Cricetulus griseus: one gene and its partners. The protein of the gene in region 1 binds, or shares a complex with, the protein of each later gene. Links are inferred from orthologs where the notes say so. Each region holds a gene or a part of one and is shown on either strand. Other genes may lie near its edges.

The links.
Region 2: Taf6 (region 1) and Taf3 share a complex: the UniProt entries of both Homo sapiens proteins name them as parts of the TFIID basal transcription factor complex. The link is inferred for Cricetulus griseus from reciprocal best matches to the Homo sapiens genes TAF6 and TAF3.
Region 3: Taf6 (region 1) and Taf11 share a complex: the UniProt entries of both Homo sapiens proteins name them as parts of the TFIID basal transcription factor complex. The link is inferred for Cricetulus griseus from reciprocal best matches to the Homo sapiens genes TAF6 and TAF11.
Region 4: Taf6 (region 1) and Taf13 share a complex: the UniProt entries of both Homo sapiens proteins name them as parts of the TFIID basal transcription factor complex. The link is inferred for Cricetulus griseus from reciprocal best matches to the Homo sapiens genes TAF6 and TAF13.
Region 5: Taf6 (region 1) and Taf12 share a complex: the UniProt entries of both Homo sapiens proteins name them as parts of the TFIID basal transcription factor complex. The link is inferred for Cricetulus griseus from reciprocal best matches to the Homo sapiens genes TAF6 and TAF12.
Region 6: Taf6 (region 1) and Taf8 share a complex: the UniProt entries of both Homo sapiens proteins name them as parts of the TFIID basal transcription factor complex. The link is inferred for Cricetulus griseus from reciprocal best matches to the Homo sapiens genes TAF6 and TAF8.
Region 7: Taf6 (region 1) and Tbp share a complex: the UniProt entries of both Homo sapiens proteins name them as parts of the TFIID basal transcription factor complex. The link is inferred for Cricetulus griseus from reciprocal best matches to the Homo sapiens genes TAF6 and TBP.

What each region holds. Positions count from the first base shown.
Region 1 is NC_048597.1:116,864,033-116,868,091, reverse strand, and holds the start of Taf6 (transcription initiation factor TFIID subunit 6), read right to left. Parts: upstream 2,801-4,059; 5' UTR 2,660-2,800; coding exon 2,658-2,659; exon of another isoform or gene 2,344-2,657; intron 1-2,343. Other genes in the region: Cnpy4 (protein canopy homolog 4), read left to right, coding at 3,187-3,322. UniProt on the Homo sapiens protein: The TFIID basal transcription factor complex plays a major role in the initiation of RNA polymerase II (Pol II)-dependent transcription.
Region 2 is NC_048596.1:226,857,191-226,860,690, forward strand, and holds part of Taf3 (transcription initiation factor TFIID subunit 3), read right to left. Parts: intron 2,042-3,500; coding exon 213-2,041; coding exon of another isoform or gene 157-212; intron 1-156. UniProt on the Homo sapiens protein: The TFIID basal transcription factor complex plays a major role in the initiation of RNA polymerase II (Pol II)-dependent transcription.
Region 3 is NW_023276806.1:233,027,501-233,031,576, reverse strand, and holds the start of Taf11 (transcription initiation factor TFIID subunit 11), read left to right. Parts: upstream 1-1,276; 5' UTR 1,277-1,993; coding exon 1,994-2,158; intron 2,159-4,076. UniProt on the Homo sapiens protein: The TFIID basal transcription factor complex plays a major role in the initiation of RNA polymerase II (Pol II)-dependent transcription.
Region 4 is NW_023276806.1:48,546,490-48,550,544, reverse strand, and holds the start of Taf13 (transcription initiation factor TFIID subunit 13), read left to right. Parts: upstream 1-1,255; 5' UTR 1,256-1,372; coding exon 1,373-1,399; intron 1,400-2,476; coding exon 2,477-2,555; intron 2,556-4,055. UniProt on the Homo sapiens protein: The TFIID basal transcription factor complex plays a major role in the initiation of RNA polymerase II (Pol II)-dependent transcription.
Region 5 is NC_048595.1:20,962,370-20,965,046, forward strand, and holds the end of Taf12 (transcription initiation factor TFIID subunit 12), read right to left. Parts: intron 1,538-2,677; coding exon 1,449-1,537; intron 974-1,448; coding exon 938-973; 3' UTR 501-937; downstream 1-500. UniProt on the Homo sapiens protein: The TFIID basal transcription factor complex plays a major role in the initiation of RNA polymerase II (Pol II)-dependent transcription.
Region 6 is NW_023276806.1:256,850,711-256,854,210, forward strand, and holds part of Taf8 (transcription initiation factor TFIID subunit 8), read right to left. Parts: intron 3,037-3,500; coding exon 2,974-3,036; intron 1,465-2,973; coding exon 1,340-1,464; intron 1-1,339. UniProt on the Homo sapiens protein: The TFIID basal transcription factor complex plays a major role in the initiation of RNA polymerase II (Pol II)-dependent transcription.
Region 7 is NC_048595.1:294,441,117-294,445,329, reverse strand, and holds the start of Tbp (TATA-box-binding protein), read right to left. Parts: upstream 2,801-4,213; 5' UTR 2,661-2,800; intron 1,456-2,660; 5' UTR 1,407-1,455; intron 1-1,406. UniProt on the Homo sapiens protein: The TFIID basal transcription factor complex plays a major role in the initiation of RNA polymerase II (Pol II)-dependent transcription.

The DNA of each region.
Region 1 (4,059 bases):
CCCTCCCTACTTGCTTCTCCTTCAGTTCATCTTTAAAGCAATGCTATCACCTAACAACTTGGTTTGTCCTTTATTCTTTCCTTATTGTTAATTTTGTTTTGGACACAGGAGCTCACTATCTAGCTCAGGCACTTCTAATTCCAGCTTCCTGCTTCTCTCTTCTTTTTTTAAAATTTTATATTATTTTTGGTTTTTTGAGACAAGGTTTCTCTGAGTTAACAGTCCTGGCTGTCCTGGACTTACAGACCAGGTTGGCTTTGAAGTCACAGATCTGCCTGCCTCTGCCTCCCCAGTGCTGGGATTGAAGGCATGCACCACATCTGGCTTCCACTTCTGCATTTCAAGCACTGGGATTATACACACATATATATATATTATGCATTTTGGTGACTAGTGACAACTTGTCTTGTCTTACTTTTGGGAACAAGATTTCTGTAGCCTAGTCTCAAACATGGTAACAAGATAGCCTTGACTCTGGATCCTTCTGCCTTTACCCTCCTAAGGCTGGGATTATAGACATGCACCTCCATACCTAGTTTTGTGGTGCTGAAGGTGGAACTCAGGGCTTTGTGTCTGCTAGGCAAATACTCTTAACTGAGCTACATCTCCACACCAGTTTTGTTCTTGTTGTTTTTCTTTTTGTTGTTGTTTTTTTTTTTTTTTTTCTGTGTAGCTCTGGCTGACCTGAACTTGCTCTGTAAACCAGGCTGGCCTCAAATCCAGAGATCCACCTGCCTCTGCCTCCTGGGTGCTGGGATTAAAGGTGTGTAGGGCCTCTTGTAGTCCAGGCTAACTTGTACTCTATAAATAGCTGAGATTGGAATTTAACTCCTGATACTGATATCTATACCTCCCAGGTGCTGGGACTATAGGCATGTGTCACCACATCCAGCACAACTCATTCCACTCTGGACCCTTGAATCAAATCCACCAGGCAAGGGCTGGAGGATGTGGCTCAATGGTAGAGTACTTGGCATGAACAAGACCTACGTTTGATTCAAAATGAACCAGGCAGCCCAACCTGACCCTTTTTGGCCTACATGACCATCACCTGTCACCTGCTGAACTCTAAAAGCCCCTGGACAAGGTGTTCCTGTTTCCATCTGAGCTTCCCTGTATTTACTCCTGAAAACCAAAGTACTGCTGTCCAAATGTACAATAGACTACCATTTCTTTGCTGTAATGGTTCCCCTTTTGCCATATAACCCTTCCAAAGCCCTCCCTTCAAAATGTCTCCTGTCCAGGTGTTGGGGTTAACACTTCTAATTTCAATGGACTGCCTTGAGTAGGACACCAGAATATGCTTCAGAGTGAGACCCTACATAGTGCACACTTGGAATGCCAGTACTCTGGAGGCTGAAGGAGGGAGACAGCAAATTTGGGGCCAGCCTGGACTATGCAGTAAGTTCCTGTCTAAAGTGGCTTTTTTCCTTTTCAATTTTCTCTCATCATATCTCTGATCACCCATCATTCCTTCTCTCACTTTACTCTGTCACATCATTCTCCTTTAAATCTGACAGACATACACTTGGTTTCAGAGCTTTTGCTGTTGTCTTCCCAAATGAGTTTAGCTACATGACCCCACCTCACCCCTTTCTTTAGGGACAAGGTCTCATGTAGCCCAGACTGGCCTCAAATTCACTATGTAGACAACACTGACCTTATCTCCTAGTCCTTTGGCCTCCACCTCCCAAGTGCTGGGATTACAGGCAAGTGCCACCATGCCCAGCTTTACTTCTTTGCCATATTTTCTTCATATATATATATGTACGTATATACACACATCATCTCTCTCTAGATTAAATCCAGGGCCTTCTACATGGTAAACAACCCCTCTACAACTGGGTCTCAGCAAGTTACTGAGGCTTGTCTGGAACTCACTCTGTAGCCTAGAAATTGAGATCCTTCTGCCTTTGCAGCTGTGCAGCACTAAGTCTAGCTATCACTTCTTGTTTATCATCCTGACCTCACCAGTGGACAGGAATATGTCTGTTATGTTCACTGACCTAACTGGTACCTAGATTGGTACCCAGGACACTGTTAAAACAAAAGAATTTTAAGTCTTAAGGGTGTAAATGTTCTATAAATACTTGGTATAACAATTACCAAAATGAAAAAGACACAGACTCAAGCTTAGCGTTTACTCTGTGGTCAAAAGGAAAGGAGCTTGCCTGACACTGGACATAAGGAAGATCAACCTCAAGAGTGTTCGGAACTGAGTGCTAGAGAGACTGGGGGAAAGAGGCCAAAGGGCACTGGTTCTTTTCAAGCCATCCCAGGTCTTCTCAGACTTTTGTTAAATCTTGTCTACAAGGAATACAATTACTCAGACATACTCTGTACCTGGTGTCAGGTATACAAGAAGTAGTCGTGACCCAGTCCCCTGCGGTACCCTCTGTCACTAAGGGTTCATAAAACACTCTTAACAGCCTCAGGAGCGTCTCAGTGGAAGCGACAGGAAGACTTCTCAGAGGGCAGACAGCTTGAGCTAGATCTGTGCACCATTTTCCTCAGAGAGAACTGATTCGAAGATTTCCCCGGGCAGCGCTACAGGAGGTTCACAATCCACTCCATCTCCCCAACCTCCTTCCAGTGCAAACACGCAGAGTCCCCACGAGCGCGGACACACAACCAACCGTCCTCTTCCCAGTTCTCACATGGGCCCTTTCAAAAGGGTCTCCTCCCGGATACACCTCAGACCTTCCCCCGCCAGCCAAGCACTGGGAGCAGTAAAAGCCTCTCACCGCTGCCAAAGCGCCGCTCACCCGGCGCTCGGCGCCATCTTGGCCCCGCCCCCTGGCAGGAGTAGGTCCTGGCAGAAGCCAAGTGCTTATCACTGCTCTTCCCTACATCAAAATAGATCATCTAGTATTACAGTCTTAAATTATATAAAAATTACATTCTACGTATATGTGTAAGGGTCATATTATTATATTCTAATAACTTCAATCTGTGTCTTCACTACTCAGCTGCCAGGACCTACAGGAGGCGCCACAAAATTAAGGCGGGGAAGCCCAGAGCCATGACGCTCCACCCGCTTTCGGGCTAGCTCTGAGCATGCGCTGCCCGTTCCACGATGGCTTTTTTTTTTTTTTTTTTTTTTTTTTTAAGCTTGTGGCCAGCTGCGTCTAAATTTAAAGGGCCCGCTGCCTTCCAGAAGTTAGTCCGAAGGGAAACGGTGGTTGTATGCGTGGACTGCGTTTTGTCATGGGACCTGAGAGGCTGGAAATACTGCTTTTCATCCTGGCAGCGTACAGTGCTTGGGCTGGGACGACGAAAAAGGAGGAAGATGACACAGAACGTTTGCCCAGCAAATGCGAAGGTATAGAAAAGTAGCTGTTCTTATTTGCATCTGTCTATTCCACCTCCTGCCTCTCTAACTCTAGGCTGGATCAAAGAGTCACTCGACCGTCTCGAAAGAGGTTCTTTTGGAGTTTGGTAACTTTTGAATGGGACTACGGGAGGGAATCAGGGTTAGGTTGACACTACATTTCCCAGGAGGCATCCAGAAGGAGCCAGGTTTTTCTTGCAGGCTCTAGCCCCAGTGGATTGTGGGAATTGTAGTTCAACAACCAGTAAAGTTGCTCCAACCGAGCATCTTCCTTAGTTCGTTTCCCGCCTTGTTAACCAGACCTAAATCTGGACCGTCTGCATGGGTGGGGTGAAAGGTTCAGACCTTCTAGACATCCTGTGCCTCGCCCTGGCAAAGACGCTCTCAAATTACAGGCCTGATGACCCCCTTCAGGGGTTTAAAGATGAGTAAGTCAGTACCTGAAGCTCATAAACAAGTTAGAGGAGACATCACACCACTTAGAAGTTGCCCATGGGTGTGAGGCTTTGTAGTTGGGGTGTACTGTAGGGATTTTACAGCAAGCAGCATGGTCTCTGACTGTATTAGTAGTCAGGAGCCAGGTCACTGAATACTACAGAGTTCCCTGGTTTGTTGTCTCTCTCCCTGACATTAACTTTTTCTTTAGATTCTTCTCTTCACCTTACACCCAACTGCATTTTATTATCATTGTTCCTCATTACTTGATTCTAATTTTGTAGCACAAATAA
Region 2 (3,500 bases), on another chromosome or scaffold:
ATCAGATTCCTCCTAAGCTATGTATTTTTAATATCCAATGTGTGTGGGGTTAGTTACAGAACTAATGATCTTTGTAACCACATTACACATGAAATGCCACTTAACTGCCCCTGGATTTACATCCAAACCACAGATATAACTCCTGGCTTTGTTTACCTGCATTTTGCACTAGGACCTTGTTCAGACAGTGCCGAAAATGATACCCAGCTTACTTTTTCATGCTTGTGTTTCTCCTTCTCTTTTTCTCTCTTCTCTCTCTCCCTTTTCTCTTTCTCCCTCTCCCTCTCTTTCTTCTCCTTTTCCTTCTCCTTCTCTTTCTTCTTCTTCTTTTCCTTTTTGTCCTTTTTCCTTTCTTTTTCCTTTGGCTTCTCTTTTTCCTCAAACAGTTTTTCCGGGAGCATTGGTGACAAGGCAGGCAGCATGGATGGGACCCTCACTGCTGCAGAAGGGCTGAACAAAGGTAGTGCCATTTCTTTCGGAGGTAATACCAGCTGTGTTGGAGGGGCCTTTATCTTGTCTTCTCTGCTTTTTTCTTTAATCTTTTCCCTTTCTCTCTTATCTTTATCTCGCTTGCTTCGTTCTCGATCTTTCTTCTTGTCCTTATGCTTCTCTTTCTCCTTTCTCACTATCCCATCTTTCAATCGCACTTTTGGATCAATGTCTTCAAATTCTCTGATCTTAAACTTATAGGGATCGGGATCTTCATCTTTCATAAATTCCTTCCATGGGTACCTGACCTCCTTGGCAGATTCCTTTTCCTTCTCCCTCTCTCTCATTTTATCCTTCTCTTTGCTTCTTTCTTTGTTTCTCTCTTTTTCCCTCTCCCTATCTCTCTGCTTTTCTTTCTTTTTCAACTTAGTCTTCAGTTCTTTTTTCAACTTCTTCTTTACATCCACAGATGAAGGCAGCTTAGCTTTCTCCTCATACCCCTTGTGCAGAGGTTCGGGAGTGGGAGGAGAAATGGAGGGAGAAGAGATATACTGGAAGGTGGGAGGCATGTTGGAAGGGGTTCCCAGTTTTGCCTTCCGTACCACCTCATCAATCGAGGCATCCATTGTCCACGAGTTATCGGAACTTGAAGTTCCGCCAGAAAGAGGCAGAGGAGTAGACCCAGACTTGGTGAAGTTATTGGAGGAAGTGGAAGCTTTTGGAGTGGTGCACTCTGAACCGGAAATCCTCTTAGGGCTTGTAAAAGTGTCTACTTCGGATTCCGATCCGGAAGAAAACTCGAAAGGATCTGGCTCCCGCTCTGCACAGGCACGTGCGATTACGGCATCGATGGAGTCATCGATGGTTTTGTCTGTCACCACAGCCTTTTTCGGCTGCATTTCCATGTTCAGTTTCCCGATTTCTGGGGGAGTCTGTGTTGGCTTTACTGGGATGCTTTCTTTAACAGTTTTTTCAACCACTATAGCTGAAGGGGTTCTATTTGGTGTTTCAGGTCTGGCAGGGGGTTGGGGAGTGTGAGTTATAATCTTGGGGCTCTTGGGACTCTTGGGGCTCTTAGAACGTCCTGGTGATTTCTTTTCTTTGGGGATGGTTTTTGGTGACCGAATGGGACTTCCAAGCCTTGCTGGTGATAGGGTAGTTTTGGGTGATTTAGTCTTCTGTCCTGGAGAGCTAGCTTTAGTCTTTGTTTTCGGTGTAAATGACTTTGTTTCTAATGGCTTTGCAGTTGGTAGTTGTGATTTTGCAAATGGAGCCAGCATCGGGGGCTCTGGTGATGGAGGGGCCAGATCTGTATTGTCCTGGACATGCACAGGAGAAAGCATCGGTGGGATCTTCTGTGGATTTATGGAACTGAGAGGTTCTCGTGCTTCTAACAGTACAACATCCAGGGAATCCCCTTTGGTGCTCAGGAGTCGAGGGCGCTTCATGGTGGGCATTTCTTCCACCTCAGGACTGTCCAGTGGCCTTTTACCCAAGAAATTCTCATCATTGATGACTTCCTCCTCCTCCATCTCATCATCTTCTTCCAAGGGCACTTGCATGGCTTCTGCTGAGGTGCCTCCATCAGTGGGCACCTGCTCCTCTTCTTCCTCTGGTAAAAGAAGAAAGGATATGATTAGAATGGAACAGGGATTAATGAACAGAATCTAGGATTCAACCCCCACTTCTTGGAAGGAAGAAAAGGAGTGAGTCCTCCCAGGTTTTCCCATCCTGGGTTCATCATTCTTTTAAAAGTAGTTACAGGAGACTAGCTTCCTAAATTTATTTCCTGAGAGAATAGTGACTTTCTATTTCTACACTCTTCTCATGCTTTTCCCAACAACCCCATGCTCCTCAAAAATAGAGATCAGTTTTCATGATCTCTATTTGTCAGTGGCTTTCTACCTTACTTTCTGAGATAGTGTCTCACTGAATCTGGATCTTACCCATTCGGGGAGACATGGGTTTAGGTGGACTGCATTCGGGTCCTCATACTTTTATGGCAAGCATTTTACTGGTTAAGACATCTTTCCAGCCCTTTGAAGAAAATCTTGTGCAACAAATTTTAGTTCTCTGCACACAACTTTCATCATAGGTACTCCTTGGAGGGGCGCCATGATGCAATGCAATTCATTTGGCTCAGACAACTGAAACTGTACTTTAGCTAGAGTTCTGGCCCTACGGAGTAATGGACCTTAGGATCTCAACCTCCTTGAGTCTGTTTCTTGGCCTTTCAAAAGGAGCTGATGAACATGCCCTGCCTACATGACTGAGTTCTTATAAGATCAGATCACATCTTTTTGCACATATTAACTAAATATATAATATATGATGATAAAGGCTGAAAGAACTATAGGGTCAATTCATAGCCTACAATAGTACATGTGTAAAGCATATGGGAAATCAATTAGTACACAGACAAAGTGCTACAGGATTTCAAAACAGAAGGGGGTGACTCACTGTCAATGGGGAAGACTTCAAGAATAATGTAGTGATTTGAATATTGCCAGGAGTACCAAGGTCCAGGATCAACAGTTAATTGGCAAAGAGGAGGACTTGAGACACAGGAAGTATATAAGAACATGAAATAATGTGTCTGGGAAGTAAGGAGTAAAGTGGAAAACAAAAGAAGTTGAGTAAAGTTGTATTCACATCACAGAAGTCAGAAGACTTCAGCACTATGGACTGGAGTCTGTGTAAGATTATCCCACATGATGGATAGAAAGAATGGGGAGTGACAGACATCAAAAACAGAGGACAAATTAGGTGTGACTAACATGTAGGTAAGACGGAGGAAAAGACTAGACTAGGAAGTAGTAGCAAATAGTAGAAGCAGGAGAGATAAATGACATTCTTAAGATAGTGAACAGACTGTTGCATGCTCAGGTATGAGTTGAAGGGTTCAAACACAAATCCAAGGCATGAAGGTTCATTCTGATCTGTGTCATCATTAACAGAAAAAAGAATAAAGAGCAAGGTGATTATTGGCTCTTTCCTGGACACAGAGCTTGAGGAACCTTTAGCCAGTGGTGTTGACTGAGCAACTAAAAGTACACTGAAGTTCTAAAAAC
Region 3 (4,076 bases), on another chromosome or scaffold:
AAAAGAACAAGGAAGGAAAAGAAAACAGCCACGAAAGCGCTGCTGAACCAACACATTTTATACACTCTGACAAAGCATTCCAATCCCCCTTGTGAGCGACAAAGAGTGCCCCCCCCTCCCCAAGCCTTGCAGCCCCGGATTCAAGTGTCTAACAGATCTCAGAAAGTTGAACGCACCTCAGTTTCCTAACAAGCCTTTCCAAACCCTGATTTCTCACCGAGTTAAGTCCCGGGGGGGGGGGGGGGCGGGGGTGAGCATATGCCACTTGGACCAGCCAGCCCATCGAGAGTGACTACAAGGAATCTGACGTCAAATTTGAGCTTCAGGCACCAGAGAGGCTCAAAGCCTGAGCACCTCGTGCGCGATCCATGCAGGAGCAATTTTAAAAACAAACAAAAGCCGGGTCCCGCACAGCCCGGTGGAGCGTTCCAAGTTCCTGAGAGAAGGAAATGAGGCGAACCGGCTGGGGGGGGGGGTGCCGCGAGGCTCTGCGCGGCGTGGGAGTTCCTGCACGATATGAGAGGGATTCCGCGAACTCGGTCTGCTCTGAAGTGGCTTTTGTGAGAGGCGACAGCTGGCACCCACGGCGGGCGGGCGGGCGGGCGAGGGTGACGCCGCCGGGCTGTGCCGTGCCGTGCGGCGCGCGCGGGCTGCCACCGGGGCACTCCCCCATTCTCCGCAGCCGCAGCCGCAGCCGCGACGCGCGCGCGAGCCAGAGCCCGGCCGCCCGCGCGCGCCTCAGCCGAGAGCCGCCACCTCCCGCGGGAGCCCGCGCCGTCGGGGCTCCGCTCCGCGCCGCGCCGCGCGCGCACACTCACCTCAGCAGACTGGAGAGCGGGTGGCTGGAGGAGCCGAGGCCGCCGCCGCCCCCGGAGCGCGCCGCCGCCGGAGCCGGAGCCGCCGCCGCCGCCGAAGCCGGAGGAGAGCCGCTTCCCGGACAGCAGCTTCTCCACGGCCGGGAGGTGCCCGGTGCGGGCCGCCTCCAGCAGCTCCTGCTCCTTCCCCATCCCCAGGGCCGCCGCTCCTCCGACCCCCGCCCGGGGCCACGCAGAGCCCGCGGCGGCTCCCAAACTTTCCGTCTCCGGGCAACGCACCCCTCAACCCGGCCGGGGACGCCACCCCCTCTCCCCCGCCTCCTCCGCCGCCGCCGCCCCCTCCCCGCGGCGCGTCACTTCCGGGATCCGGCGTCACGCGTCACCGGCCCCGCCTCCTTGCCCACCTAGTGGGCGGGGCCCCGCGCCGGCGCGCAGGTGACGGCGCCCGGCGCCGTCCCCGCCCAGCGCGCGCGCCCGTGGCGCAGGTGGGAGATGCGCGCTCGTGCGGCTCCCGCGCTGCGGGACACAGGGGAAACTTGGTAGCGCGCGCGCCAAGACTCGTAGGTGAACTTGGGAACAGGCGCGGAGACCCGGAGGCAGCCGCGGGAACGGCGCCCCCGGGCGGGAGGACCGCAGTTGGGCCGGAGCGGCGGCGGCTCCGCTGTAGCCCCTCCGCTGGCCTCCCAGGGCGCCGTGCGCAGGCGTGCATGCAGCCGAAGCCCCGTACGCGGGCGAGCGGGGACGAATCCGCAGCCGCTTCCGCGCCGGGCTCAGAAGAGGGGCCACGTGTGACCCCAGGCGGCCCGCGGGCTCTGCAGTCCAGGGCGGCAGTGCGGCTTTGACGCCGGCAAGCCCGGGGCTCACTGCCTTGTCACCCCGAGTCAGGTCGAGGAGGGACTGACGGGCAGGGCGTTTCCATAAAGGACGAGAGAAACAAGTCTCTCAGCCAACGAACGTACGCTCGTCCACAGCCGCTCCTTCCCTGAAGCTGCGGACGCGCGCTCTTAAGTTTCTTTCTCGTCACAACAAATGCTGCCTAAGTGGCTCCCCAGGGCCAGCCGCGCGCTTCTGGAACGGACCCCTCCGAGGCGCCGTGGGTGACGTCATCGAGGCGCGACGACAAGCCGTCAGCCCGGGTTCCACGGTAGGGCCGGTCGTCTCGCTCCCCTCCCGCCGCGATGGACAACCCTGCGGAGTCGCCCTCGGACAGAGGCGGAGAGCCGGCGGAGTCGGAGGAGACGAGGGCTGCTCCTGGAGTCCCGGCGGCCGCCGGCCCCGAGGGGGGCCCGGAGGAGACCGACGGAGATGCAGAGGCGAGCCGGAGAGCGGCGGCCGAGAGCGAGGTGGGCGCGCGCCTGCTGCAGCCCTGCGGGCCGGGGCCGGGGCCGGGGCGAGGACGGGCACGGGCGGTGCACCGAGCCCCAGCCTTGCACGCTAAGCCCCAGGGGTCCCGGGGCCTCGTTAAAACCGCCGGCTGTGCCTCTCCAAAGGCCAAGCGTCGTTGCCTCCTCGACCCTCAGCGTCCTTTTCTGCAGGCAAAAAATGTCGGAGTTTGAGAGCTGGGGCTGGCTTTGAAAGATCACGGGGTGAACAGTAGCTAAGGTGGAAATGGGCTTTCTAACCGTAACTGCCTCAAAATGCCTGACGTAATAACTTTCAGGAAGAAGAAAATGTAGCAAAACTTTATAGGATTTTGCTTTTTGTCTTTATGAGGGGCGTCTCCCTAACACGGCCTGGCCCTGAGCTTGTGACCCTCCTGTCACAGATGAGCAGCAAAACTGTTTTCAGAACCGGGCGTTGGTGGCGCACGCCTTTAGTCCCAGCACTCGGGAGACAGAGGCAGGCGGATCTCTGAGTTCGAGGCCAGCCTGGTCTCCAGAGTGAGTTCCAGGATAGGCTCCAAAGCTACACAGAGAAACCCTGTCTCGAACCCCCCACCGCCACCGCCAAAAAATAAAAAAATAAAAAAACCTTTTCAGAAAAAAATTTAAGCTGAAGTAGACAAAATACATTACAAGGCTTAATGAGCTACAAAATGAGACCTGCTTCTATCCCAGCTCGAGAGAGAGAGAGAGAGAGAGAGAGAGAGAGAGAGAGAGAGAGAGAGAGAGAGAGAGAGAGAGACAGACAGACAGACATCGAGAGGGGGGAAGAGGAGAAAGGAGGAAAGTTAAGGGCAAATAAATTTGAAAATTTGAGGCACACAGGTTAGAAAATGTGTATAGATCAGTAGCTAAAAAGAAGTTGAAAGGATTGGCAAATACATAATGCCTTCACTCTCCCTCTCCCAATTTCTGAATGAGTTTAAATATGAATCTCTTTCTAAAGGAACCATTAAATCTCACAAGTGAGTTTTGATGTATTATGATTCCATAATAAGCTTGTCATGACATACACCTGTTAGGAGTAACTTTTGAGTGCTTATTTGGAGAGAAATGTAAATAATAAACATCTTCAAACAGATTTTATAGTAGGGCAGGCAAAACGGCTCAGCAGGTAAAGGTGCTTGCCACGAAACCCTGGGAACTGGAATTCAATCCCCGAAACCTACATAAAGATACAAGAGAACCAACTCCACACTTGCAAGTCTACACACAGTATGCATGAATGCACCTAATAATTTTAAATTTGGGCTTTTAAAAATTGTTATTGTATGGATGTTTTGCCTTTGTGTATGGATGTTTGCCATGTATGTGCCTGGTCCCTGTGGAAGTCAGGAGGCATCAGATCCCCTGAAACGAGTTACAGATGACTGTGAGGTGTCATGTGAGTGCTGGTCATCAAACCTGGCTCCTGCAAGAGCAGCCAATGCTCTTTCTTAACCTCCGAGCCATCGCTCAGTTTCAATTTAAACTCAGTATGGTGGCAATCCCAGCAAAGAGGTTGAGGCAGGACAATTTCCACAATCTGGAGACTGGGGAGTGTTGGACCACCAGTCTAAGCTACAAAATGAGATGTCTTAAATTACAAAAGAAAAAAAGTTTCCAAACTGGGAGTGGCAGCAGAGGCCTTTAATCCCAACAGTTGGGAGGCAGAGGTAGGTGGATTTCTAGGAGGTCAGCCTGGAGGACAGCCAAATTTTAAAAAAAGGTTTCTAGTCTAGTAATGGGAGAGGTAGTATCTTATGATCCAGTAGAGGAAGGGTCAGAACACAGCACAGGGTGGTGCTCCCAAGACGCAGATGCTGCTGGATGGATAACTTTGCTGACACCTGTAGGGTGAGGGTGGGGGAGTGGCGATTTGGCTCCTTGGTGTTTTCCC
Region 4 (4,055 bases), on another chromosome or scaffold:
CCCCCCTACTTTTTATTTTATTTTTTAAAGATATGGTCTCACTATAGAGATAGAACTCATGGATATCTTCCTGCCTCTGCTTCCAGAGGCTGGGATCATAGGCGTGCTCTCAACTCTTTTGTAATTTAAAAAATTTTACCTATTATTGTGTATGGAAACTAGAGGACAGCCTTATGGAATCATTTTTGTTGCCTTTCATCTTTTATACAGATCCCAGGCATTGAACCTGGTTCTTAGGCTTCCTACTAGAGCTTTCACTAGCTAAACCATCTCTCCGGCCCATCCTTTGTAATTAAAAAAAAAAAAAGTTACTATTAATTTTTTTAAAGTCGTGTGTATTAATGGGGGCAGGAGACATGGCGCTGTGGTTAAGATTCCAGAGACCTGTATTTGATTCCCAGCACCTACATAGCAGCTCATAATCTACACCCCAGTCCCTGGGAATCAGATGCCCTCTTCCGGCCTCTTTGGCTCTGCACACATGTGGTACACATACCGGCAAAACACCCACATACATAAAGATTATATTTTCAAGTGGGCGGTGGTGGCCTGCCTACACCTTAATCCCAGCACTCAGAAAGCAGAGGCAGGCAGATCTCTGTGAGTTCGAGGCCAGCCTGGTCTACAGAGCGAGTTCCAGGACAGGCTCCAAAGCTACACAGAGAAACCCTGTCTCAAAGAAAAAACAAACGAAACCAACAAAATCCACCATAAAGATTATATTTTAAAAACACGTGTGACTTGTGTACTTGAGTGCATCAGCTCTGGACGATAAAAACCCATCATTTTCCCCCGGAGCTGCAATTACAGTCGTTTATCTATAAATATCCATGTGTATGTACAAATTTATCACGTTTTCTGAGACGCGGGCTCATGTAGCCTAGGCTGCTCTCGAACTCGAGACCCTCTTGCCTCACCCTCCTAAGTCCAGGATAGCATACCATGCACGGCTTCATCATTATTATATTTATTATTATTATTATTATTATTATTATTATTATTATTATTATTATTATTATTATTTCTTTTTTGTTGTTTTCGAGACCGTAGCTTTAGAGTCTGTCCTGTGGCCCAGACTGACCTCGAACTCAGAGATGGGCTTGCCTCCGCCTCCCCAGCGCTGGGATTAAAGGGGAGACCCACTACCGCCGCCGGGCCGCGGCGCGGGGACTCTTCTCAATGTTTCACTCCTTCTTCAGGATTCCACTACCAGGAGCGCGTCACCGCTTTCGGCCAGTCTCGGAGCCCCGGGGAGGAGACGGAGAGCGCGTCCCTGCAGACGCAGCGCCCGCCCGGCCGGAAGTGACGCGCCGGATGTTATAAAAGCCGCTAGCGGCCGCGGCGGCTCTCAGAAGGCTGGCGGGCAGCTGGGATGGCAGATGAGGAGGAAGACCCCACTGTGAGTGAGCGCCTCTGTCACAGCCTGTTTCCTCGCTCCCTCGGGCTCACTAGCGGAGGCAGAGTCTGAACCTCGCGTCCCCTAGGGAATCCGCAGTGTTTTCCTCCTCCTCGGATTTACCTCAGTCGTGGGGCAGGACGGGAAGGAAGGGGGCTCCTTTCGATCTGGATCTGCCAGACACTTTGGAGACACCTAGAGGGTTATGGGAGATCAGAGCCAATAAATTCCACGGATCCCGCAGCCCAGCTAACAGAACTTGTGAAGATAGCGGGGAAACGATGAACTAAAGTCAGGAGTCTTCAAGTCCAAACTCTTGCTTTTTCTCTGAGGAAGTTATTTAACTTCAGACATGGGTTTTCTTGTCATGAGATAGGATCAGGCTCACTTAGGGAGTTTTTAGCTCTGTATTGATAAGTTCTTAGTAAATGATGATTCCGATGACAACTGAGAGTTATCAGGTCTTTTACCATGCCATTGCTTAGCAGTATGACCACTTAGTTGGCTGAAAACAAAACCCAGAACCCGAGGTCATTAGAGCTTTTACACACAAAGGTGTAGGGTTGTTAGGAGCAATGATAGAAGCCTTCCTGCATGACCTAAGAATTTGAGGCTAAGTTTTCATGATGTTGTGCTGTTCAGTTTAGCTTATCGCTATTGAAAATGAAAAAGGGTCACTCTCTGGGCTTGGTGGTGCACACCTTTAATGCCAGCACTCAGGAGGCTGGGGCAAGTGGATTTCTTAGTTCCAGGCAGATGGGTACATAGTGAGACCTTTAAAGTCTAGAGAGATTACTTTAGCGGTTAAGAGCAACCCAGTCACCTATAACTCCAGTGGATTGAACACCCTATTTTGGCCCCTGTGGTCACCAGCAGGCACGTGGTCAATGTAGGCACACACAATACACATGGTGTCTTTCAAAACAAAGGGTGAAAATGAAAGGGTCTGGGGATGTAGTTCAGTATCTGTTTAGAATCTTAGTTCCTAGATTCAATATAAGAGAACAGAAAGGACACTCAGTGGAATATCAAATGTAGTACAGTCATTTGACATGGCTTTATGTATTTTCAAATTTCTAGTTTGAGGAGGAAAATGAAGAAATTGGAGGAGGAGCAGAAGGTGGACAGGGGAAAAGAAAGAGACTTTTCTCCAAAGAATGTAAGTTGTATTTTGCAGTGCTTTTGTTATAGATGGTGAAAGCTTGAACATGTCCTTTTAAAGTAGACTTATTATTCTGCATATGTTTTCGTCTAGGGACAGTGTTCTCAGACTTGCCTGTGAAGTTGTCTGTTTTTATTGTTGTTTTGCTCATTTTTTAAAAAGATAGTCTCTCTATAGCACTGGCTACTTCGGTGCTCACTGTGTATCCCGAGCTAGCTTTAGATTGGTGGCAGTCCTCCTGCCTTAGGCTCTGAAGTACTGGCATTACAGGTGTGTACCCTTATGTGCAGCATAACTTTTCTGAATCACATATATTAATTCTGTATGTGGCACATAAAATGATGGATGTGATCATGATTGCTTTTTTTTTTTTTTTTTTTTTTTTTGAGACAAGGTTTCTCTGTGTGGCCCTGGCTGTCCTGGAACTTGCTCTCAGCTGCAAGATCTGACTAGGATTCTCTTTAAGTGTTGAGGTCTTGAAAGACAGGGAAGAGCTAAGGAGCTGTCACCAGTTGGATAGAGAAAACTACAGAGGTGTGAAAAGTGTCTAAAATTGAGGCCTAGGGAGTATAGCTCAGTGGTAAGGGCATGTGCCTAGCACCTGTGAACTCTGGTGGGGGGTGAGTAGAAACCAGAAATCTTAAAAGAAAATGCACCTAAGTAGAAAAATAAGTACACTCTGAATAAGGTACTTGTACTAATGTTGATTTCTTAGTTTTGATATTTGTTACATAAATGTTGTAAGTGGTAACGAGATACTGGGCATATGGAAACTCCTATTTTTATGACTCATCTATAAGCCTAAAACTGTCTTTTAAAAAGGCAAGTTTTAAAAATAGAATTCAAAGGGGCTGGAGAGATGGCTCAAAGGTTAAGAGCACCGACTGCTCATCCAGAAGTCCTGAGTTCAATTCCCAGCAACCACATGGTGGCTCACAACCATCTGTTATGAGATCTGGTGCCCTCTTCTGGTGTGCAGATATATATACATGGAAGCAGAATGTTGTATACATAATAAATAAAAATCTTTAAAAAATAGAATTCAAAAAGAAATAGAGAATATTGACTACTATATTTGTTTTCTTCCTTCTGTGTTGGGACCTAAAGTCTCTTGGCATTTTGAACACAAGGGATAACTGTACTCCAGGCTGGCTTCCAGGTCACCCCTTTCATTTCTTCTCTTTGTTGGCTCTGTCAGTTTTTGCTTCTAAATAGGAATTATTTTAAGGCTGAATATATGATACATATCTATAATTCCAATGCTGAGGAGGCTGAAGCAGAGGATTTATGAATTTGAGGCCATCCTGGGCAACACAGAGAAACACTATCTCAACCTCTTCCAAATAATTAATTAGATATTGATAATAGTAATAAAAATAAATAAATACACTGCAAAAGAATCCCAGCACTAAGGAAGGCTATTCTGGTCTACTTAGTGAGTTCCAGGTCAGCCAAAGCTACATAATGAGACTCTGTCCTTTATTTGTTTTATTTTAA
Region 5 (2,677 bases), on another chromosome or scaffold:
TCCCAGCAACAGGACTGTCCCCAAAGCTATTCCCATCCCTCCTCATGGCCAAGGATGAATCTGATCTTCCATGGAATTCCAGAAGAGGTCCAAAGGGGCTCTAGCAGGCCAAGTGTGATGATGCACACCTGTAATCTCAGCACACTGAGAGGTGGAGGCAGGAGGGTGATTCAAGGATAGCCTCAACAATACATCAGGTCTGAAGCCAGCCTGGGCTACATGAAAGCCTGCCTCAAATCACAAAAAGAAAAAAAAAGTCCCAGGGATACCAACATTATCTGAACTAGAATGCTTGTTTATTTCGGGGCTAGTTTACCCTGTCTGGTAGCAGAGAAACCGGACTCCAACTCCTACTGCTGGTTTGTCCCTTTGGAGTAAACCAGTGGAAAAACCCGTTTCTTAAATGCACAGATGGGCCCCTGTGCTGCCACCTGCTGACTGCAGCCCTCCAGCCTTGCTGATCCTGACTGGCATTTCAAAGGCCTCAGCTAGGCACCCTGTGTCTTCAATTTATAAGTTCTTTATTCTGGAAAAGCAAATCAAGTTCATATTCATATAAACACTGACATTACAAAGTACAGGACAAGGGAAAGGAGGAGACAAACCCTCTACAAACCTGCTAACACTGTCTCACCCAGCATGACCATACCGCTCTGCCTACAGTCAATCATTTATAAGATAAACCACAGGTAAAGTCTTCTCCGGAAGATACACTGCTTCTCTTTGAGACGGCAGGGAAAAGGGACCAGAAGTTGGGGTAGGAGGCTTTATTCTTTTGGCAGATCTTCTCAGTCATTATAGATATTGCTGCACTGTTAATAAAAAATATATGCTTCTCTGTAAAGCATTTAAAAAAAAAATCCAAGGATGAGATGGCTGAGGTCTCAGCTCAAGTATCTCCAAATACATGTCGTCCATTCCTTAACTGTCCCCTGTGTTATTTCTTGGTTGTTTTCCGGATCAATGCCATTCTCTGAAAGGGGAGAGAAATGAACAGTTAACAGGGCTCCAAGTCAGGAGCTCTCTGGAACATCAAACAGCATGGTCTCCATCACAGAAGCAGAATGCAGGGTCGAGAGACAGCCACAGTGGCCACCATCTCACAGACTGAGAGACCAGCTCTGTCCAGCCGTGCCTGCCGTATTCACATGCAGCTCCCTTTCCCCACCAGGGCAGCCATTTCACTAAGGTGTGGGAGCAGGTGGGCGTGCCCACCAAAGATCTGGAATCAAGAGCTTTAAGTGAAACCCATGGGGCAGAGAGGAAAACTGAAGCCCTGTGCATCTGCATCAGCACCATAGAAGCTATCACTGTGCTGCCTCTGACCTCTGACCTCTGGTGCAGAGAAGCTGGCTGCACAGGTGACTGACACTCCTGGAACACAGCTGCCTGTGCCCACTCCAAGGTGCAGTCCTAGGGACCAGCCCTGGCTGTCCTGGGTTTCTGACCTGTTTGTGAGCTTCTGTGGTGCAAGCTTTTTTGTAGGGTCGGATTTCCTCAGAGCCAAATCCTGGGATCCACATGTTCCACTGGCGCTCTGCAAGGAAGACACAAGCAGAGCTGAGGCTCCAGCTAGAAGGGCAGTGCAGCTGCAGGCAAGCAGCAGGGCAGGCCTGGCACCCACTGCACAGCACATGGCTTCTCCAAGGTTCTTTACTGAGCTTAATGCACACTAGGCAAGTGCTCTCCCGCCACGCTATAGCCCCCCCCTCAAGACCTTTAACCCTTTTAATGTTAATTTTAAAATTTTATTTATTTACTTATTTATTTATTTGGTTTTACAAGACAGGGTTCCTCTGTGGCTTTTGGAAGCTGTCCTGGAACTAGCTCTTGTAGACCAGGCTGGCCTCGAACTCACAGAGATCCACCTGCCTCTGCCTCCCAAGTGCTGGGATTAAAGGCGTGCGCCACCAATGCCCGGCAAAATTTTATTTATTAAGGTATATTTATTTTATGTACATGAGTGTTTTGCCTGCATGTATGTGTGTGTACCATGTGCAAGCTTGTGCCCAAGGAGGCCAAAAGAGGATGCTGGATCCCCAGTAACTGTCACCATATGGGCTCTGGGAATCCAATCTGAGACCTCAGGAACATCATCCAATGCTCTTAACCACTGAGCCATCTCTCTAGCACCCTATGTTTTTATTTTCTTTAAGGCAAATTTTGATATGCACCCTAGATAAGAAGTGAACTCATAGTGATCTGCCTGTGCTAGCCTCTTAAGTGCTGGAATTATGGGTCCAAGACTGCTGCTACTGGCTATCTTACTATTTTCAGTCAGGCATGGTTACACATAATTTTAGTCCCAGCTCTAGGGAGGCAGAGGCAAATGGATCTCTGTGAGCTCCAGGCCAGCCCGGGCTACAAGGTAAAAAAGAAAAAAGTACACACACTTACAAAGTCACATTCAGAAGGATTTACACAGATACTATTATTCCTTTCTGCATTTTACCCTATTTTCATATTTAATAACCTTAACATAATAAAGGTTACTTTAAATAAAAAAAATAGGTGTTAAGTACAGTTTGATAGGCATAAAAATCTGGCTCCTAACTTACTCCTAGTTGTGTACACATGGGCCACTTCATACTCCATTAATGTCCCCAAAGTACAGGCAACAGGATTTGTTCTATAAAATTCATTTTACTCTGGACAAACCAACTACTTAAAACAAACT
Region 6 (3,500 bases), on another chromosome or scaffold:
AAAAGAAAGAGCTCATTTCAGTACAGGAATACTCATTAAGAAAAGTGCGGCCAGGCGTTGGTGACGCACGCCTTTAATCCCAGCACTCGGGAGGCAGAGGTAGGTGGATCTCTGTGAGTTCGAGACCAGCCTGGTCTACAAGAGCTAGTTCCAGGACAGCCTCCAAAGCCACAGAGAAACCCTGTCTCGGGAAAAAAAAAAAGTGCAAATATTTACTACATAGTTGACTATGGCAGCCAGCCTGTGAGTTTGAGGCCAGCCTGGTCTACAAAGCTACACAGAGAAATCCTGTCTCAAAAACAAAAGAATTACAGAATACCATCTTGTTAGCCCATGCCCTTAATCTCAACACCTGAGAGGCAGAGGTAGGAGATCTCAGTGAGGTCAAAGCCAGTCTGGTCTAAAAAGGGAAGGAGGGAGGAAGAGGGGGGAGGGGTAATGATACATACTTGTAATCCCAGCACTTCAGAGGTAGAGGCAGGAGGACCTGAAGCCTGAAGTCATCTTTTTAACTACATACTGAGCTGGAGGCCAACCTGAGCTGTCTACGACTCTGTCTCAAAAAACACCAGTAAAAGAAGCTTCTTACATTATTTTTATTGTCAGGATTTAACATACCATATAAGAGGTATGAATACTATGAATTGATCTGTATTCCCATAAAAAAATGTTTAGATATAGTAAGCTAACTACTGGCATCTCATATGACTTTATTTGTCAACAGAGTCACCAAGATGTCATTGATTAGGAAGAGTCATGAAGTAAGGACAATGGTGTCCTTATGGGAAGACAAAATATTTAATCTGTAGAGGTGGAAAGCCAGCACCACGTGGAGGGGACAGGAAGATTGGAGCGACACATCTATAAACCAAGAAATGCTGGAGAAATGTTGACACACTAAGGCAAGGTGAACACGATTCCCTTACAGGCTTTACAGGGAATATGGCCCTGATAACACCTTGATTTTCAACTTTTGGCCCCCAGGCCTATAAAGTAATACACTTCTATTGCTCTAAGTCAGCTACTTTGTAGCACCTTATCATAGCAACCCCAGGACACTTTGAGGGACTGAAGTCCAGGGCAACTGTATCAATTCCTTCCCTGAGTCCTGTCTCTCTTAGAGACAGCATCTCACTCTGTAGCCCAGGCTGGCCTCACACTCATGGCCACCCTTCTGCCTCAGCCTTCCAAGTGGTGGGATTACAGGACTGAGCCATCATTCCCTATAACAAGATTGCTGCTCTCTAGGGAAAGTCAGAGAACTGAAAGCACTTTCATCTGCAACCTTTCCTCAGCTGGTTTACATCACTCACAGCCCCTGGGTGGCTCCACCACTCACTGGAGTTTTGATGTAGGTGTGGGGATCCGGAAACTCAGGAAAATGGCTGGGGATGTGTGGTGGGTGGGGCCGGTTCTGCCCCGCAGTGAGGGCCTTGGGTGTCACTGGCTGATTAGTCACTGGAGCTGCAACAGAATCACAACTGGTTACTTGTTCAACCCCTGAAGTCTACAGACAATAGTCCTTCTTCAGCCCCACCCCTATCTTCCCACTACACCATGACTCAGCACCTTGTATTTCTATTGATAAAAAGCCATCCATAACCTCTTCAGATCAGCATACAATGCCCGGCCTTGTCAGGTCATCTTGCTTGATATTTCAATCTGTGACATCTGCCTGTAAGCCCCTTGCATCAACAGGAGAGTGGCTGTCACCAAAGTCACTACATAGTTGAACATGCTGAAGTACAATACTCGCATTCAACGGGCTGTTAGTCTTCTTCCCAGAGAGTGAGGACACTAGGAGCAGTGTTTGGTGTAGTCTATGCTTGGCATGCACAAGGCCCTGGGGTCCAATCCCCAGCACACACACGCTGCTCAGAGACCCCAAATAACAAACACTGAGCTGGGGGAAGTGTGGGCTTAACAATTGTGGAGGGGAAGGAAGATGGCACCTTCCACTGCTTCTCTCCAATGCAGGTGGCCAGATGGTTCAGTGGGAAAAGACTTGCCACCAAGCCAATCTGCAGGACCCACATGGTGGAGGGAGACAGCTTCCACCAACTTTTCCTCTAGATGGCCACATGCACACCATGGCATGTGCGTGCACACACATAATAAACAGATTTAATATCTAACATGATGCCAATGCAAAAAAGTGACTTTAAGAAACAAATACAGTGGGGCTGGAGAGATGGCTCAGTGGTTAAGAGCACTGACTGCTCTTCCAGAGGTCCTGAGTTCAATTCCCAGCAACCACATGGTGGCTCACAACCATCTGTTATGAGATCTGGTGCCTCTTCTGGTGTGCAGATATACATGGAAGCAGAATGTTGTATACATAATAAATAAATAAAATTTTAAAAAAGAAAGAAAGAAAGAAACACAGCAGTACCCCCAAGTCCTAAAGACTAAAGCAGTTACTCCTTACTTTAAGGGACCTAGTTATCCTAAAGAGTAAACTTTTTACATAAGGGGATACATGATACATATTTTAGACTTTTGTTTGCTTGTTTCTTAGTCATAGTCCTGCCTATGTATCCCACAAGTGCTAGGATTACAAGAGTAGCCAGTAAGCAGTGGCAGTTCAGATTATGCAAGCCACAAAACCCTGCCTTTATAACATGAAAGCAATCACAGACAAATAAATACAACTGCATGCCAATAAAATTATATTTACAAAAGCAAGCATTGGACTACATTTACCAACCCTGATCTAAAGGAGCAAGAACTTTCATAGTCTTCCTGTATCGTTGCTTGCTTTTCAGGGTTAAAGTACAAGGGCAGTGGTTCAGAGTAGCTTAGAATCCTCCTGTCCAGATAAAACCAGGCTGTGGGTAGCTAACCCACCCCAAAGACTGGAAGGGAGCTTGCAAAGAGCCAACAGCTGCCACTCTGATGCCTGCCCTATTCTCCAACCGAGTCCCACCATAATCACTGTATACTTACTAAGTCCCTGGGTTCAAAGCCACTTACGTGCAGTGATGACCATTCTCTGAGACCGTTTAGCATATGCAGGAAGAGTGTCCACATTGAACCCTAGGGACAAGAAAGCCAATCACTGCGTAGGTCATTGGATACTGAACATGAAAAGCGAAGTTAACAGTGTGAAAAGGGCTGGGCATTGGTGGCGCATGCCTTTAATCCCAGCACTCAGGAGGCAGAGGCAGGAGGATCTCTGTGAGTTCGAAGTCAGCCAGGTCTATAGAGCAAGTTCCAGAACAGGCACCAAAGCAATACAGAGAAACCATGTCTGGGGAGGGGGGGAGAAAAAAGGAAAAGAAAAAGTGAGAAAAGGGGGCTTAAACTCCCAACTGAGCCACTATTCTGCCTCTCAAAAGAAGATCCAGCAGAGCTCCCCAAAAAGGACTCAGGGGGTCTCCAAGATGGGCTCAAAGGATTCTTTCCTCTTAACTTTCTAAACTAAAAGCAAATCAAGGAAAACACGAAGGAATCCATGAGCACTCAGCAGACACCCCAACCCCCAGGCCTCCCTCCCTGCC
Region 7 (4,213 bases), on another chromosome or scaffold:
GGGGGGGGGAGGGAGAAGGGGGGGAGCGGGAGTGGGTGAATCTATATACACATAGTTAAGTACAGGACAGATATTATTACATTTTTAAAAAAAGGTTTTCATTTTATGTGTATGAGTATTTTGTATGCATGTATATATGCACATCACATGTGTAGTGCCTGCAGAAGTTAGAAAGGGAGTATTGGATTCCCTACAACTGGAGTTTCAGATAGTTGTGAGCTACCTACCATCTAGGTGCTGGGAACCAAACCCAGGTCCTCTATAATAGCAGTAACTCCTCTTAACCACTGAGCTATCTCCCCAGCCCAACAATCAGATCTTATTCTAAACATTTATTATCATCTAAAATTTACAAGTCTTATACTCACGACCCCTGGTCATTTTAAGTATATGCTGACACAGGCCTTCTTCTGATGTTACTAAATCAATCAAAGAATTTCATAATCTCTTTGAGAGGACAGAGGACCCAAAAGATACTCCTACAAACTCATTACTGAGAAGCACTTTTTCCTTTTGTTTTTCAAGACAGGGTTTTTCTGTGTAGTCCTGGCTGTCCTGGAACTCATTTTGTAGACCAGGCTGGCCTTTGAAATCACTGAGATGCACCTTTCTCTGACTCCCAAGTGCTGGGACTAAATCTGGTGCCCTCTTCTGGCCTGCAGGGATACATGCAGACAGAACACTATACATAATAAATCTTAAAAAAAGAAGGCCGGGTGTTAGTGCTGCATGCCTTTAATCCTAGCACTCGGGAGGCAGAGGCAGATCTCTGTGAGTTTGAGAGTGAGTGCCAGGATAGGCTCCAAAGCTTACACAGAGAAACCCTGTCTCGAAAACCAAAAAAAAAAAAAAAGAGAGAGATGCCTGTTTCTGAGAGATACTAGACATACAAGAGATACTAAATTTACAAGAAAATTACACTTTTTCTGATATCATCAGAAAATGTTATTATTCTGTAACAGAAGTGCTCCAGATACAAAGATAAAGATGAAGAGGATACAGTCCTTGTCAATATTAAAAAAAAATACAAATAACTGTAAAAAAATTAGCAAGCACTAAAATCACAGTTATTTACTAAGTAAGGCAAGATGCAAGAAACTAAAACCAGCATTCATGTCTTCAAATCTTTTCAATTAGGACTAGGCCTGGCATGCAGTGCATAACCATGAATGAATGCTATGGAAGAAAGAATGCAAACTAAAGTCAAGAGGCTGGAGAGCAGTTAGGAGCAATGTTGTTTTTCAGAAGGCCTAGGTTTGATTCCTAGCACCCACATGGCTGCTCACAACTAGCTGTAAATCCAGTCCCAGGCAACCAGTGCTCTCTGTCTTCCATGGACCCCAGGTATGCATGTGGTATACAAGCAGACATACAGGCAAAACATTCACATACATAAAGTTACGTACCGTTTGAGAGGCCAGATCTTTCACAAGCCAGGAGCAATTTAACACGGATCTAGCATGAGGAACAAAAATGTACGAATCAGCACACACAAAAAGTTAAAGTAAGACAAAGGCTAATATAATAGAGCATCCAGTATGTAAGTGACAGGCTTAGTATGGAAAGTCTCTACAAGAGATGACAAGCAACTATAGGAGGGTTACATAATTCGGAGTGTAAGATGTTATTACACAGGCAATGGGATTTCTTTCTTTTTTTTAATCTTTTGAGCAACGGTTTCTCTGTGTAGCTCTGTAGATCAGGCTGGCCTCTAACTCAGAGATCCGCTTGCCTCTGCCTCCCGAGTGCTGGGATCAAAGGCGTGCGCCACCACCTCTCTGCTGGGATGGGATAAATCTGAGAAAATTCAATTTCAGAGGTCACCGCTATAGTTGAGCGAAAAAGATAACGATGATTGGATGTAATTATAACCAGAGATTTACCCAGATCATTTCGTGCAAATCAAGTTTACCGAACCGGCTGATTATATGTAAGGCGGAAATTGGCAGAAGGCTACGCTACGCAGAGGTCACATCTCACACCTGCAGGCGATGTAAACCATCTTTCCTCACTTGTATCACAAACTCGAAAATAATCACTACACTAACTTATTCTTAGCCGGTTTTTTCAGGGTCTTCATCTTTTAGGAAACGCAGCCATCAAACTGAGTATCTGAGAAACAATTCTGCCGTCTTCACGCGCCTGCCTAACCCAGTACTGCTGTCTCTTCTCAGAAAAGTCTAACCCAGGGTTTCGGGAAAAACCACCCGCTAACCGGAGCCCAGAGACGGGAGAGCGAGCAAACCAAGCGGGGATCTCTGTCGTGCTCGAATCTCAGGCTGCTGCTGACGAGATGAGTTTAAGAGTCTCCAAACCGCTCCCTAACACAACTACCCTTACGGGGGAGCGGCCCCAGGCCTGGGTAAAAACCCGTCTTCTAATGGGGGGGGGGAGGAGCAGCCGAGGCGCGCGGTGCCGCCCGGTGCCAGTCCCTCAGGGAGGCTCACACTCGGCGCTGGGTTTGGAGGACCCCGCCGAAGCGGTGGCCCGGCGACTGGTACTTGCCGGCCGAGCTGCCGCGGCGCGCGCGGGGGACCGTTCCCCGCCGGGCCGCGCGCCCCACGCCCGCGTCTCCGCCGGCAGTCTCCGGGATGCCCGCCGCACAGGTCGCCTTGGTCAAGGCCCTCGGAGCAGAGGGAAAAAAGCCGAACGACCGTTACCTGGGCGCTGCGGAGAAAAAAATGACGCGACCGCAGAGAGAGAGCCAGCCAGCCAGCCAGCCAAACCGCCAGCAGCTACCCGCCACCGCTCCCGGACTCGACCCCGCCGAGGCCCGACGCACATCTGATGCCGTCACTTCCGGCAGTTGCGCTTTTTGACTGAAGCCCGGCACGGGCGGCGGATCCCTGGCTAAGGAAATGAGGGGGCGGGGCTCCCCAGAAGTTCCGGGGCGAGGATGGGGCTGGGGCGGGGCCCCCTGGACAACTCTTCCCGACCGGTTCTCGTTAGAGGCTGCAAACTTGGAGGGTGCAGAGGTGACTGTTGGGGATGTACGATAGGGGTGAAACTCAAGCAAGCGATCTGTCAATGAGCTACATCCTTGGCCTCCCATGGGTGTTGTTGTTTTGAAAAAGGGTTTCTCTGTGTAGCCTTGGCTGTCCTGGGACTCGTTCTGTAGATCAGGCTGGCCTCGAACTCAGATCCTCCTGCCTCTGCCGCCGGAGCGAGGGGATTAAGGGCGTAGGCTACCACGCCCTGCCAGTCGAATAGGATTTTGCACTTACAGTGTTACCCTCGGCAAGCTCCCTACATCCTCCACTTAACGCCATAAAGCTGAATGGTAGTAGCAGCTGCCTCCTAGAAATTTGTGATTTCAATGACACGAATAGCATACCCTCAGTGAAAGTTAACTGGTATCTGAAGAACGACAACGACACAGGGGAGGTGGAGTCACAAATTCATTTACATTTTAGCTCAGCGACGAACAGCTGACTTCTGGGCTGTTCCAAGAAAACAGCAGTTGTCTCTTAGGTTGCTTCTTAACGTTTGATTGAATTCCAGCGTATCTTGATTTCTTCTTGATATGGTTCACCTAGGCAGAAAGGAAGTTCTGCTTATTCCCTTTCCCTTGGATTTAGCACTATCAACGAGGTGATAAGCTCCTTTAGGTTAGGGGTGTGTGTGAGAGATGGATATTACCTGTGTGTGTTATGTGCCTAGGGTGTTGACCTCTGCATGGATTCTAATAAGTACAATAGTATTGGTTACCTATTTTCTTCTAAATGAAACATTCTCTCTTGGAAGAATAGTGAACCTTAAGACATTAAGAAAACTTAACAAAGGCCTGACAAGAGGCAACTTAAGAGAAGGAGGTTCCTTTTGGCATACGGCTTGAGGGGTACAGTCCACCATGGGGAAGCCTGACGTCTGGAGAAGGGGGGAGTCACACTGCATCCGCAGACCGGAAGTCTAAGGAGATGAATGTTAGTTTGCTTTCTTTCTTTTTTTCCCCCTCCTTTTTGTTCAGAAAGCCAGGCAATGGGATGGTGCCACCTATATTTAGGGTGGGTTTTCCCTTCTCAGCTACACTGTCCTGAAATCACCTGCATAAGCATGCCCGCGAGGTTTTACTAGGTGATTCTAGATTCTGTCAAGTTAATACGATCCATCAGGCTCTGGCTGGCGAAACCTAGTATCGCTTCCTGGATCGCGTGGCTGCGTATACCACACAGCTGACCATGCATCTTGACCACTAGGACTTGAACATAGCAGG